2 linked regions of the Caenorhabditis elegans genome follow. The protein of the gene in region 1 interacts with the protein of each later gene in a biochemical or structural test. Each region holds a gene or a part of one and is shown on either strand. Other genes may lie near its edges.

Region 1 (3,930 bases):
AAATATTTTCAAAAAGATGAACAGTATTTTATTGGCTTCGTTATTAGTAATGATATCATTCTCTCTGTATTGGTCTATGGAAATGCAGGGTTTGATTCTTATAAAATAAATTCTTCAAATTTCACACTGAACATTACGGCTCATAAAATTTCAGTTATTCGTTGGGACTGCTGAATTAACAAAAATTGAGCCAATTCTAAAAGTTGCTCATAATTTTAATGTTTCGGGGGAAGTGAGTCTAACTTTATATTGTCTAAAGATTTGTCAAACATCTTGAAAATTACAAGGTCTCCGAAAAAACTTTTCAATAATTTCCGGATTTTAAATAAATTTCAAGAAATGAAGATAACTAAATATTTTTGTTCAGCAGTCTAGATGACGTGAGGACAGGAAATGAAAACATTTATACCTTTTTAAAAGTGCAAAAAGATTTATGGTCGTTGAACCTTTTAGTCTGGTTCCAGTGTTTAGCTTTCAAAAAATGTCAAATTTCAAATATGAAACCTAGGTGAGCTAAAATTCAACTATTCCGAAAACACACCAACTTTCATTCATAGACAATAAAATGAATACGAAGGATTAAGCAATCAATCAACAACCACTGTGCTCAAATCATTCTCAAAATTTTAAGTGCTCGCTAAGACACATTGGAAAAATTCAAATCCTTAGAAAAAACAAACGAAAAAGGGAAATAAAACCCATGAAAACAGAACGAGAACTAAATAATTTTGAATTCCTGTCTGAAAATGGTGTACGGTGGTAAAAAAATTTAGGTTGGCACATCATTGCCTTCCTGCTTACTACTCTAGTGCCTGCCTCGTGCCTACGAGTACCTACTGCCAAAGCACTAAAGCGCAATCAAATACGGAAAATACGAAGGTAGTCAAGCAGGTAAGCAGAGGACAGGTACCTATTCAGGATGGCGTGACTACTTATTATCAACCATGGAAATCGTTGTAATTTCTTAGTTTAGTAGGATAGATATTTCATTTTCTCTTTTCGGTTCAAGTTCTTCAGGATTTCTATATCATCATTGTGCCAATTTCCTTTATTTTTATTCCAAGTAACATTTTATTATTTAAAAGATCATCGGCATTCAAAAAAACAAAAATAAATATAGTTTTTCTCGCGGGGATGCCCCATCCATAAGTGCTCGTCGGTTTGCCGCAACTTCTCAATCAACTTATCAAGGCCAAGTTGGTTAAAGTTGGGTATGGCCAAAAATTCACTTTCAAAAACCGCCGAAATTTGACTGAACTTGGTTAAGAAATTTCTTGTACGTTGAGGTGTTGCGATGTGTTGTCGAGTGCGCGCCCGTTTCAGAGAACTCATCAATTAAATTATCTTAATTCAAATAACTAAGAAGTTACTATCACATTTTTATATTAGTTTTTTCAAATTGTGATGGTCACTTTAAAGCATTGACAGACACATTTTCCTTAGCTCTACTATAAGAGATTTTATAAAAACAAAGATTATTCTTAAATCTTAGATAAAAATTTTGAAGGTAACTGTTGTGTATGTTCCTTGACGTCAGTATAAAGATCAAATTAGGAAGTGTGCCCATCGGAAACAACAAATGATAATTAATGCTATGATATCAAACCTTTTAGCCTTTCATTCACCTCCTTCATTCAAGTAATCCCAAGTTCTTCCTGGCCTTTTTAAGCCTCGCCCCTAAAAAACTGCTCGCAGAAAGTGGGCGGGGCTATGTTGATGAAGAATAGAGTCTCCTTCTCCTACTTCTCACTTTTTGTGGACGTCGTCTTTTCCTCCGACGCCTTCTTCCATTCATCTGCCGTCATGATCTCCAAATGTTCTGTGATGGGTCTTCTTCTGTTATTGTTCGTACACATCACCACAGCACAATTCGAAACACACTTTGACGATGTAAGTTATTTGAATGATTTGGCCTAGAAGTTGAGAAGTCCTTCGGGATTTACTGTAACATTCGCAAAAAAACTTGCCGACAAACACTCAATCTTTTCTATTTTTTCTTATATTCTCGAAAAAAAAGTGCGTACATTGAAAATGAAAAAGCATTTATCAAATCCGAAACGAATCGGGCGATGATGGACGATGGCTGAACGATGTAGTCATAGGAAAGTCTAATAACTTAAAATATTTTTAGAGATCATATAAAAGTGATCAATGGAACATTGAAAGAAAAAATCACAAAAGAAACGCTAGAAAATAGATTTCTGAATGATAGCAAATTTTGCAGTATGTAAATTGAAAATATCACTAATTAAGATATTTCCTATTTCATTACAATATGAAATTCAATTGATTCAACTTATATATAATTTGACTTTTTTCAAAAAGTGGAAACATAAAAATTAAAACAAAAATGTTAAATTTAAATAAAAAATGCTCATCAAATTTAAAACCTCAAATGCAAGCTTGCACATTACGTGATTCATAACTTTTCACTTAATAGTCTCCTAGGAGATACTAGAACTCGAATAGTTAACTAAACTTTTCTTTTTGTTTTGAGAATGTCTGTAACTCTGATTCTGGAAAATAACAAGTGAATAATTTAATAAAACTGCAATTCAATTTGTCAGATTTTTACAGGCTCAGTCAATTTGTTAGGTGTATTCAAACGTTTTTTTCTCAGAAAATTGAGTACCATGAAATTTTATTTTCTAATGGCTATAAAGTAAATATGTAGTGCAAATTATGAAAATCAAACCAATCCTTGTAGTTCAATTAAATCGACATCCTAGGCATAAAGCACATATTACAAACATTATCAGTATTCTTTGTTCTTTTGTTTAAAAAGGTCTCACACTGCCGGGTTTCCCTAATTTCCTTTTTCTTCATTTCCTTATTTTATCTTAATGGTCTACATGTCTGAAAAAAACATCCTGTTAGTCATAAAACGTGATTATTTTGAAGGGTTTCTTTCAATTCGTCAGTTGAATTTCTGACCTCTTTGAAATAAAATAAATAAAATATAGGACCAGTTTGCAGAGAGAGTTTAATTAAAATTTCAATTATCAATACTATATAAGTATAATTGCATTGTAATTTGTTTATTGCATTGTTCATTGCATGTTTTCCTAAACTATCAAAACTTCAATTTTGCATTCAAGCATTGAAAACATCAAATTATGAATTATTCATGACTCTATAATAACTTAAAGTCTAACTTTTTTAATTCATACTCCCAGACACCACCTTCAATAATATTCAATAAGTTGAAAGATTTGATTTTCCATTCTCCTCCTATTTATTGTATTTGCTTCTTGATATTCTCCTGAGGGACCAAAAAATTAGATAAAGTGCTACTGACTTTTGTAGGTGCACACAAGCGGAACCGGAAATTTCCTTCAACCCGGTTTACGCTCCAATTGTGAAATGTATAAATTTCGTTTTTCTGCTTTGAAGCACTTTAGGATTTGGGGGCGGTTTGGAGCTTTTTCGGGAATGAGGGAGGTCTAGAAAAACCTTCGTCAATATAGGAAATTGAAAATTTTTGAAAAAATGCAGCAAGAATTCAATATTATGAAAAATTACATGCAATGTAATTCATTACTTGTTGATTCTTTTTATTAAAAAAACTCTAAAAATATGATTTGACAAAAACGTTTTCCTATTTACGTTTTCTTCTGAACCTTATTGCAACAAATAAGAATAAAAATGATTTCATTTTTACTTCCGGATCAGAAATTTATCAGATAACATAACTTATTTGAACATTTTCAAAGTAAAATTAACTTCGGAGGTGATGTTTTTAGCATTTCTTCTCCTTGCCAACTTTTAATAGTAAACTTTTAGCGCACGCGTAAAGTCAAAAAGTAAATCTAGTGAAGCAGTAATAAACTGTATAGTATCCAAATTACAGGCACAAGTATACTGGCCTTCTCAATACAAACGAAGTGGACCATCATCAGCTTCTGAAGGTGAAGCTTACGCATTCCCGGG
Region 2 (3,930 bases), on another chromosome or scaffold:
TCATCTATTTTAAAAGAAAAAAACATATAAATTATTATTTTTTAATCAATAAAAAATATTTTTAAAAATCTTAGAATATTTAATTGCTACTTAATCGAGAAGTTCGAACGATTTCTCTTTATAAATTGGTTATAAAACTCTTTCCAGAATGGGTTGATTTTTAATATGTTTTGTTGTGAACAACTTTATTGGAAAAAAAAACTATATTCGTTTACTCGAAAAAAACATATTGAACTGGCAGAAAACTTTAAAAGTAACCCGTTTCTTCTGTGACAACTGTGCAAATATATCTATTTTTATTGATCATACAGTACCCCTCCAAAACTTCTCAAAATTATAAAACTAATCTGAAAAAGTGAATATCTGGAAAACCAATTTCACGCGTGGCCTTTCCATTCTTTTCTTTTTGCATTTCCGAACTCATATTTCTCCAGAATCCAGGTGATTTTTCTGTGACGTGACATTTGGAGGGGCTGATTTCAAAAACTAACAAGGCACAACCTCCTGGAATTTCTTGCAACTGAAAATTCATTTTTTAAGGTTTACGTGAATTTTGCAACAAAAAAAGATTTCTGGTAAATTTATGTACAAGTTAACATTTTCTTGTATTTTGAGTCGGGTATGTGTTTTAAATACTAGAAAATTTCCGTCCACCACCACCATGACCAGTGACTTCCGATAATAATTTGAGCTTCTAAAACACTTCCCATTTTCTTCCTGTTTCTGAGCACTAACCTCCTCACATCTTCCTTTTCCTTTTACTGCTCATTCTCTTTATTTTGTGTCTGAAAGTTTCCGCAACCTGCCTTATCCAATTACTATTTTCCTCTCTCTATATCCAAGCTCTATGACCAGTCGTCTTTTTTTTCTGGACGCGTTTACTCCATTTTCCACCTCTTTTGTTTCTCGGTTCAATTTTATACCCTAATGATGTGGCCATTCAAATAATTTTTTCACTGTTTCAAGTTTTCGTGATAGGCTTGGATTATAATTGAGAAGACACTGGATTATCTACCATATGTACAAGTAGATTTTTATACCATTCTCAGTAGAATTCTCATTAGATTTCAAAAATTTTAACATTAAAGGTTTTTCTTAGAGGTATCAAATATTCAAGGCGTAACACGGGGCGCCTATTGTACGCTTCGCACCCTACCGGCCACAAGGTTTTTAAGGTGCGAGGTCCCATCTTTCCAAAGCCCAGGTTGATTTATTTTCAAATCAACATTGGTGTAAGTTTATTGTTTCAGACAAATCTATGCTTCAAAAAAATTTTTATATTTTTGTATTAAATTCATCCTGAATACAATTATTCGCCGTTTCGAGAATAAAAAAAAGTACCTGATTTTACAATGTATGTTTCATCCCTTGTGTGTTCAACCAATAGGTGGTGCGTATTATTCACAGTTTCAAAAATTCAATTCAAAAAGTCGATGCGCCAATTATATATTTACATTATTTATTTGTTAGTAAAGTTTCATTTCCTTACACTCCTGAAAATCTCTCGAATTTTTCAACAACAAAAAAGTCAAAATTATTCACAGTTTCAACATTTCAACTTAAAATTTCCTTGTTTTAATCTTATATTCAACAAGCCAATTTTGTTCTTCTAACCAAGCAATCCTTCATTTTTTGTATTTCCCCTCCTATTTTATCTATCAGCTGATATAAATCTGAGTCAGGACATTGATAAAATTTGTTCTTTGTGTTTAAGCGGCTTATGCATTTGAAAAACAACAACAAGATTGTTTTAAAAAATTATTTTAAATTTGAGTTTTTTCACACTGAACATTTTTTGTATGAATAATTTTTAGGTAGCTGAACTTTTTTTCCTTCCTCTCTAATTTATCAGAGTTTTGAAAAGGCCAGAGTGAAACAGGTGAATTCAAAAACCGAGGTTTACTTCTCACCTGAAGTTTTTTGTGCGAATTCTGTGAAATGGTGACTGATTAATTCATCTTACACATTGTCTCATTCTCTCGAAAACTACAATTACTCATGCCCTTTTCTTTCCCTTCTTTTGAAAAATAATTTCTGTTTCAAATATTCTACAAGTTTCAGAATGACAACGTGTCCCCTACCACCCAGTTTAGACGAAATGGATCTGCGATTAGCTGCCGATAAAGTGAGTTTTAAGGGAAGGCTGTTAATGAAACAGCAAAGCGAGAATTAGTTTTACGAGAAAATGAAACAGTGAAAATTTGAGAAAAATATTCGAGTTTTTAAGTTAATTAGAAATTTTTAAAAAACCATATCTCAAATACCTCTAGAGTATTGTGTGGACATGTGACAATTTTCATGCCAATAGAGGAACCGATATTATTTTTTTACTAGTTGGGTACTAGTTGGTATTTTAAGGGAGGTAACTTAATTGTAAAAAAAAAAGTTTCTCAAAAACTTTTAGATTTTCTACCTTTATATCATACCTATAAGAAATCTAGACTTTTCAGTTTTAAGAAAATAATTTTGAATCCACTATAATAATCCATTTTGTTGTTCCTTCACATAGATTTTTGCTATCTTTTGTAATTCCAAAAAACTTCAAATGTACTCAATTTCCCAATTTCCGTGTTCTTTTGTGCTTACTCACCACAAATTCAAAATAAACGTTTTGTAGTAAATTTGTGAATTATCAGGAGCACCTGGAAATTATCAGGGATTAGATTCAGGATGATCAATTTATAATTATAAGTGTTTTGAAACAGAAAATATATTTTGTCAACTGTAGTTTTTATGATGGAACAGCTAATAATGAGAACTAACACATTAAATTAAAACTCTGCAACAGACGAATATAAATTGTTTTAAAATTAATATTGCCTAGGACTTCCAAGGTATACCTACCTACCTTATGCCTGTCTAGGTGCATACGTTTTGCTTTTTATGGCGAAATGTGGTGTCTTGAGCCCTCACAGCCGCATTTCAGTAAAACTGTAAAAATATTAACAATTACTTTAGTAAGCCGCCTTGAAGAATCATGAGTAAGCCGCCTTGAAGGCAGGCATTTTATATTGAGAGCAGCTTATAAGCTTCATTAGAAATCTGAACTAATCAATATTTCAGGTTCTAAACGGTTCACTGATCAACTGTACATTCCAATCGTTTTACGATCAAATGTATCAAACACACGGAGTATACTTCATATTTGAACCAACTCCGTTCGTTCATCCAATTGTTTCACAGATTTTCTATGGAATCCTGTTCACACTAACAATATTTCTGGCGTTAATGGGCAATTTTACAGTGATGTGGTAAGTGAAATAAAGTGAAAAATGACAAAGTCTGTTTCAACATGTTAATAAGTTCCACGATTACTTGTGATGACACTGGATACCTAAACTTAGGAAATATTCGCTTTTTTTGCTCAAAAAATTTTTAAAGATTTAAAATTAATTCTCAGGATAATCCTGTACCACCGTCAAATGCGAAGCGTCACAAATTACTATCTGTTCAACTTGGCAGTGGCGGATGCCTCGATTTCAGTGTTCAACACGGGATTCTCATGGTCTTATAATTATTATTATGTTTGGAAGTGAGTTGTTTTAATGTAGAAGAGAATAACGAAACGAAATTGGCTTCGTGCTAAAAGTTGAACTGAAGTTGTAGCGTTGAAACATACTTTTTTTGTTGTTGAGAAGTTTCTAAAAAAGTTGTTCTATTAAAAGTGATTAATCAATTTTTATGGTCAGTTTCTAATAGAATTTCTAATAACGTATGAAGAAAGTTTGAGAATATTTATGTGTGATTTCTCTGACATGCCACACTCCTACAGTAATCCTGCCAGTATTGTTTAATTTTGAGCATTATTTTCGGAATAATTGTGACGTGGAATTAAGGTTCATAACTTTTGAAATAAAAACGAAATTGGAACAAATGAGCTATGTAGGCTTCTCGTTGGGAGCTCATTGATTTTAGAACAAAAGGTTTTGA

What was found.
Region 2: the proteins of nlp-58 (region 1) and tkr-2 interact in a test that uses a peptide from one of them, tested with the Caenorhabditis elegans proteins (one large-scale study listed by BioGRID).

What each region holds. Positions count from the first base shown.
Region 1 is NC_003283.11:9,946,759-9,950,688, reverse strand, and holds the start of nlp-58 (Neuropeptide-Like Protein), read left to right. Parts: upstream 1-1,748; 5' UTR 1,749-1,803; coding exon 1,804-1,890; intron 1,891-3,850; coding exon 3,851-3,930.
Region 2 is NC_003282.8:6,200,018-6,203,947, forward strand, and holds the start of tkr-2 (G-protein coupled receptors family 1 profile domain-containing protein), read left to right. Parts: upstream 1-2,051; 5' UTR 2,052-2,062; coding exon 2,063-2,125; intron 2,126-2,128; exon of another isoform or gene 2,129-2,149; intron 2,150-2,250; exon of another isoform or gene 2,251-2,271; intron 2,272-2,638; exon of another isoform or gene 2,639-2,659; intron 2,660-3,063; coding exon 3,064-3,251; intron 3,252-3,327; exon of another isoform or gene 3,328-3,348; intron 3,349-3,400; coding exon 3,401-3,532; intron 3,533-3,550; exon of another isoform or gene 3,551-3,571; intron 3,572-3,930.